Oryzias latipes: one gene and its partner. The protein of the gene in region 2 purifies or fractionates together with the protein of the main gene of each other region. This does not show direct contact. Links are inferred from orthologs where the notes say so. Each region holds a gene or a part of one and is shown on either strand. Other genes may lie near its edges. The genes, in order: protein POLR1D and polr1b.

Region 1 (4,618 bases), on a different chromosome or scaffold from region 2:
ATTCATAGCTATAACAGTCGTACTGTGTCTTCACGGGGACTGGGAGTGTAAGGAAACCACTTTTCTCCTTTGAAAAACAAGAGCGGTTCTGATAGCTGCTGTGCACATTTCAAAACATTAGACAGGATATAAAATTTGTTTACTCTTTGGCGACAGCAGCATGGCTTATATAAACACCAGTGGTGGATAACCACAAAAGAATGGTTAATGACATTATAATGGAGCTACAGCCACCTTTACAAAGTGGAACATGATAAAACAAATATTAGCTTTGATATGATTTTTAGATTATATCCTAAAAAGTATATTTGATGTTTCGTTCTGGTGCATAAAGATTCATGTTAGAACTGTAAGAGGATCAATTATTCATGCCTGAAAACACAAAATATTTATTTCCTTTTACTCTCTTCATTCATTCATTCAAAAGCTGTAATACAAATTGTATATTCTGTCACTGTACAATTCGTTGTGATCAGCAGAGGTCCTTCTAGTCTGTCTGGGTCTCTGTGAGGGTGAGAGGGCTCTACAGAACTATTTCAAGTCAGCCATACTCCTCCAGCCAATTAATTTTTCAGTAGAGCATCAAGGCTACCTTTAAAACACAGCAAGTTCATTCATGAAGAACTTCTTTTTCTGTCTCCGTTTGGTCCATCGGCATGCTTCCTGTCTCTGCTGTTGTCCCCGTGTCTGTCAGATTTGTTCTTATCTTTGTCCAGTTCCTTATCTCGGTTTGAACGGGTGTGATGTTTATGGTCTTTGTGGCGTCCATTACTCCTGTGGTCTGTCGGAGGTGTTCTGCTGCGGTCACACCGTCTGTCACGGGACTTGTGGGTCAGGCGGTCTCTTGTTTTGGAGTCTGCGGTTCTCTGCTCATCGTTTCGCCGCTGCAGGCCGGTAGAGCGCAGAGTGTTGAGGAGAAAGCGTTTGTTGGTGCTCTGCAGGGGACATTTCAACCTGACAGAGAAGAAGACAACACAACCACTTAAAAATTCAGAATTAAGGTTTTTTTTTTAATCTAAAGTCTAATGTGAAAAGCGACAGTTATCTGATCAGTATATCTGACAGATGTATAGTCGTTTCCATTAAAGGACAAATTGTCTCCAGAGTACAATTTAAATTATAGGACAACTATTAAGGGCATGACTTTGCTTTAAGTTGGGAGTTAGATGCTCACCTTACTGCTTTTTGTATAATTTCACTTTTTGTTAGGTTCCCACATGAAAATAAAACATTATGGTATTGTGCTGTTTTTCCATGTTTTCTAACACTTAAAAATACTGGGTCATTCTTTAATTTACTACTAAATAGTGTGATAAGAGGTGCAAGTTTTCTGGAAATTACATAAACCAACTTTTTTTTAATATTCTGTAGTTTTTTTGGACCAGACCTAAAAAACAAAATAACATAAACCTCTTCATTAGAAACCCACAAAAAAGAATAAAGTCCTTCTAAATTTGTTTAAGATCTGTTAAACATACACAAATAAATCTTATCATTTCAAGAGACTCAATGAAGGGAGATCCAAAGAGAAACCCATTAACCATCAAACAGATCAAATACACAAAAAGTGAATAGGTCAATAAATAATTTCATGCAAAAGAAATCATTGTGCAACAATATACTTGCAAACATTTGTCGATCTAATTAATACAGATCAGTCAACAAATATTGGTTACCAAGATAAATCTATGATTGTAAATGCGACACAGTGTGAAAAAACTCAAACTGTAATTGTTACACAAAAGACAAGCCTTGCAGACTTCAGAGAACGTTGTCATGTAAATGTTTGGGATAGACAAAAAAATGTGAAAAGTTTAAGTTAGGTAACATTATAATTATGGACAGTCTTTTAAAAAAAAATTTTATTTGCCTTTTGTCCCCTCCTTTCAAGTGACTTTTGTAACTGCATTAAATGACGAGTGAATGACAGCTTCAGAACATTAGCTTTGACCTCTCACATCTGAAATAAATCAAGAAGAAAAAAATAGTTTTGATAAATCAGCGTCAGCCCAGAAAATAAAAATGTCTGAAAGCATATTTTCAATTCCAGGAAAGTTCACAGGGTTATACCGTTTTTTTTAGACATAGAATCACTACAGACACACAATCAATAAATAAATATTAATAATAAATTTAGTCTATATGTGTGTGCTTTTAGATGCCAAGAGAGACAAGTGTCTTTGGGAACCTGACGAATTATCTATAATAGAAAACTAGTTAAACACAAATACAACAATAATAGAAGCCTCCAAAAAAAACAGCTAAACCTATGAAGTAAGATTTTACATGGCGTTTTATGTGGAGGCTGTCAGGGATGACATTTCAGAACCATAACTCACCATCCTGCAGGGCCCATGGTCTCAGCTCTCACCCTGGCTCTGTCTGTCTCCTTGAGGAGTTCCTCTATAGCCCGTCTGGAGGAAAAGACGTAGAAAAATGCGGATAACAACAGAAGACCAAGATGACATAAAAGCTCAAGGGGAGACTAATATAATTATGTGCGAGCGAGGAAGAAAATAGGAGACGCGGAGGAAGTGAATCATAAGTAATTGGGACATCAGCGGTGTCCCCGTTTAACCCGACCAGCTGAGGCATTAGTCTCGCAGGGGGCTCTCTCTGATTCAGCCGATCTTATAGCACGTAGTGAGAACAGCTGTTGATTGCCAAAAGGCAGAGTGTGTTGACTGCTACACAAGATACACTCCGTCCCCTAACCAAAATAACCCCATAGCTACAGAAATGCATTATGCAAACATGCTAGCCTAATCTGGTGGTACCAGACACCATTCCCCCGATGTATTAGTTTAACCGAGCAAACGTAAACAAGTTAATCGATGATAATCTAAAAATAAAAAATACTTACTTTTCCAATTCATTATCTTCAGCCATTATGCCTGACCACCTAAAGACTTTAAAACGCAGAATTATTTCAGGAAATTTCTACAGGCTCATGTTAGGGGATTTATTTACCTCTGCGAGGTCCTTCTTTCGAGGACCTGATTTTATGACCAAAAGATGCCTGATCATTTCATTGTTTTATATTGTTAAACCATAACATTTTTTTTTAAATAAATAATGCATTTTTGTAAAATTCACGCCGTTTTTAGAACCCAAACATTTATTCTAAAGTAATTTAGTTACTAAAATAATAGTTGTAATTGTCACATTGAAAAACAAAAAATATTCCATGCCCTGTATGATCCCGAAGCTTTATCCGTTTATGTTATTACCTCTAACATATCGGAATCATAAACATATTAAAAGATTTTAATTCCCGCTGAATGGACGTTTTTGGGCAGGCGACATTGAAGCCACCTCTACTTTTTTTTTCTTTTTTTTGTGGATTGACAGCGGCAAACTCCGCCCAGTCTCTTTGACGGACAGCAGTGGGCGGGACCAGGCACCAAAGTGACGGGGGCGTTTTCGTGCAGGTTTGCGGAACGGGCCGTCCGTTGCGGCGACTGCGTGACTGAGGTCCCGCAGCTGCTAATTGTCCCGCCACCCCCGCCCCTCTTCGAGGCCCGGGCGCGGCGCAGAGGAGCAGCCTGAAGAGGTAACATCACATCTGCATCCTTTCACTGTAAGCGGCGTCAGTGTGTGTGATGCTGGCTTTTTCTGTTATTACCATTGTCGCCTCTTCTGTCCTCCCTTTTCGCTCCTAGGGGGGGTTGGACTCAGACAGTGAACGGGGGGTTTGAGAGATGGGGGGAGGGCTTATCTAAACATTGATGGTATCAAAAATATATATATATATATATTTTAGTAATTGCTTTGCAGATGGGGCGTTATTAAGGTAAATGCAGAAAATTGACAATAATAATTGAAAATGTAATTTACAGCAGGCTCAGTTTTTGTATTATTACTAATGCATGCAAAAAATAAATATATAATAATGTTCACATCAGTTCTCGTGCTGTCTTTGTGTGTTTAGTATTTGTAGGATGAAAGACATCCAAATGAGGTTTTTGTAAAATATCTGATACCTGGGTGCCTGATACACCTGAGTTTTTAAATGAGTGCCATAGAGTCTTTTGATCTTCTAAAAAGGAAACTCCTGCATGCCGCTGCCTAGTTCTCCCAAGATTAGATAGTAATCTGTGGGAAAATGAGAGCAAGTGCAGGACCGGTATCCTAATATAAAAAGATGAGCAAGTACAGCTTTGAACTCAGACAAGAAGGATTAAGAACGTGTCACACGCATCTGCAAGCCTTCACTTATTAAAAAAAATCAGCCCAGCGTGGCTTTTGTCTAAAATAGATTGTTTTTCAACTGCTTCCTGACTCAAAAATGCATTTACTGTTAAAACCGGAAGGCGTTATTTATTGATGAGGAGATTTCAGGGGCTTCTGCCTAAAAAAAGCCCTTGTGTGTTTCTGTTTGCTCTTGCTTGTGCATGTCTACAAGTCTGTGTGTGATGTGGTGATGTCACAGCTTTGTTACAGAGACAGAGAAGCCTTGTGTCCTCATGTTAAATTCATGTCCAGCTGCAGGATAGGGACAGAAGCAGCCAGTCAGACACAGACAGGAGCACGCACTTGAAGGAGGCAGAAATCTGTGACTACCGGCCTGGTAGCTAAGGAGACAGAGGAGACAGGTTGCATCAGAACTGGATAACTA
Region 2 (2,727 bases):
CACCCCTGGCCAGCTCTACCTCATGTTTCTGAAGGTAACTCGTTGGTGTGGAGTTTTCTCCTGTGTTCTGCGACCTAAACATGGACTGTATCTGAGAACTGGACTGAGTGACGTCACCCATTTAGAAATGAAGTCAGTTCAGACGCCCTTGTTTTCATGATACGCTTCTATGGCAACCACTCTCACCAATTAGGAGTAAGCTTGTTAGAAGACCACACCCTTACCACTGAAAGCAGGCTTGGGAGAATCTGTCAATCAAATGCTTCGACCGTTCAATGTGGAACCACCCACTCTTATTAAGTCATGTGATTGGTCAGTTTATAACTTGAAAAAGTTGCGCTACAACAAAAATATGGGAAAAAAATAGGATTGTCAAGAAAATGTTTTAAAAAAAATTTTACAGACAAAGAAGGATTATTTGGACCAACAGAATGACTGAGTAACAGCTTTTCATTTTAGATTCTTGGAGTCAGAAGCTACTTCCTGTTTGGAACGCCAGGGGGAGGGGCCACTCAGTCTAGTTCTCTAATTGGCTACAGACCTTGTCAATGAATCTCCTCTGTGTTGTGTCTTCTGGACAGAAAGTGTTCAGTTTTGCCAAATTTTCATAAATATTTAATCGCGATCAGATCTTTGTTTTTATTCTGAAATCCTGGTCTCTCTTTTTTTCTATTTTTAGAGCGTATCCCCCCGGGATACATGAGGGAAGGCTGTACTGTAAATGTTATGACCTTGACTTTTAAATCTTAAAGTTCTAGTTTCATGTTCCTCGTCTTTAACACTGCAGGAGAGAATGACTGCATGGCTGGTGTCTGTGAAGCTGTCCTTTGACAAAAGAGGATCCAAAGTGTTTGCAAGGGGATGGAGCACAGAAAATGTCATAAAGATGCTGAACATGGGCTCTGATGTCACCAAACCTTTTGAATATCTCTTGGCTACTGGAAACCTAAATTCTAAGACGGGTGCATATCCACACTCTTTATATATATATTTTTAAACTTCAATAGTTGCTTTGTTCTAAATGTTTTCTTTCACAGGTCTCGGCATGCTGCAGAACTCGGGCCTCTGCGTTGTCGCTGACAAGCTGAACTTCATCCGCTACCTTTCTCACTTCCGCTGTGTGCACAGAGGAGCAGCGTTCGCCAAGATGAGGACCACCTCAGTCCGTAAGCTGCTGCCCGAGTCCTGGGGCTTCCTGTGTCCCGTCCACACTCCAGACGGAGAGCCTTGTGGACTCATGAACCACATGACTGCCAGCTGTGAGGTGGTGGCAGCATCCAGTCCCACCACGTCGCTGCCTGCACTGCTCTGTTCCCTCGGTAAGCTCCAAACATTTTTACAAAGTGCACATTGCTCCTCAGCGGCTGAAAATGGAAATGGTCCTGTTTTCGGTGTGTGAGGTGTTACTCCGGTGGATGGTACTCCTGCTCAGGCCTTCTCTGACTGCTACCCTGTGGTGTTGGATGGCTCTGTTGTTGGCTGGGTGGAGACCGACTTGGCTCCAGCTGTTGTTGATGCAATGCGGAGGTTCAAGGTACGAGAAGGATGTTAGACAAGTAGTGACCTTGGAAGCAGAAACCTGATGACTAACGTGTGTGCAGGTGCTGAGGGAGAGGAAGGTTCCTCCCTGGACTGAGATCGTCCTGGTTCCTAAAACTGGAAAAGCCAGCTTGTATCCAGGTCTGTTCCTCTTCACAACACCTTGCCGGATGATGCGGCCCGTTCAAAACCTGGCTCTTGGCAAACAGGAGTTCATTGGCACCTTTGAGCAGGTATATGTTTAGCTGGTGCACGTTGAAAGACATTCTTGCCATCGAGACGGTCATCGGAGGACAGCTGTCCAAGTAAAACGGGTTTACTTTTCTGCCGTAGCTTTACACCAATGTTGGAATTTTAGAAGAGGAGATTGAAGCAGGAGTTACCACACACCAGGAGCTCTTCCCTCACAGTATGCTGAGCGTGGTGGCAAACTTCATCCCTTTCTCAGACCACAACCAGAGTCCTAGAAACATGTACCAGTGTCAGATGGGTAAGTGGGTGGGATCAGAAATGTTCATTGAAGGCTAACACCAATTTGGAGTCCAAAGTCCTGAAATTGTTGACCCTAAACTGTTTGTTTCAGGTAAACAAACGATGGGCTTCCCTCTACACTCGTTTATGGATCGCTCGGACAATAAGCTGTACCGACTACAGACGCCACAGAGCGCCCTCGTCAGGCCCTACATGTACGATCACTACAATCTGGACAACTATCCAAGCGGCACAAACGCCATCGTCGCCGTCATATCCTACACCGGCTACGACATGGAAGATGCTATGGTGAATTCAACACAATAGTTTTTACATTTCTACAGATGGGATTTGATCATCTTTTGAGCTATTTTCAAAGCATTCCCAGTAGGGATGCTACTCCATTCTGATCATCCTCTTACAGATAGATCCATGAACGTCTTTATTTTCCTCGTCTGAGCTGGAATCTGGCTCTAAACTGTACGGCTGGATAGCTCTGATATTGGTCGACATTTTTGTTTCTCTGATAATGTTAGTTAGGGGTTGTGACGGGAATTGGTTTGCCTGAGATGGTGTAAACAAAGGCATGATGGGAAATGGAGGAAGGGTCACTCTATGCCAGCGGTCCCGCCCACAACTTCAGGGTGAATTTCTGATGAACTCCTGCTGGTCTTTGGTTTTTAGATTTAGGCTAAAAATGACTTCCTCCTAGTCTGA

What was found.
Region 1: the proteins of polr1b (region 2) and protein POLR1D purify together in Homo sapiens (affinity purification with mass spectrometry; 5 studies listed by BioGRID and IntAct, with this or other methods). This does not show direct contact. The link is inferred for Oryzias latipes from reciprocal best matches to the Homo sapiens genes POLR1B and POLR1D.

What each region holds. Positions count from the first base shown.
Region 1 is NC_019878.2:17,475,227-17,479,844, forward strand, and holds protein POLR1D, read right to left. Parts: upstream 3,029-4,618; 5' UTR 2,971-3,028; exon of another isoform or gene 2,910-2,970; 5' UTR 2,890-2,909; coding exon 2,864-2,889; intron 2,415-2,863; coding exon 2,340-2,414; intron 955-2,339; coding exon 615-954; 3' UTR 125-614; downstream 1-124.
Region 2 is NC_019873.2:3,647,155-3,649,881, reverse strand, and holds part of polr1b (DNA-directed RNA polymerase I subunit RPA2), read left to right. Parts: coding exon 1-34; intron 35-787; coding exon 788-962; intron 963-1,037; coding exon 1,038-1,319; intron 1,320-1,400; coding exon 1,401-1,534; intron 1,535-1,601; coding exon 1,602-1,772; intron 1,773-1,872; coding exon 1,873-2,029; intron 2,030-2,122; coding exon 2,123-2,319; intron 2,320-2,727. UniProt on the Homo sapiens protein: Catalytic core component of RNA polymerase I (Pol I), a DNA-dependent RNA polymerase which synthesizes ribosomal RNA precursors using the four ribonucleoside triphosphates as substrates.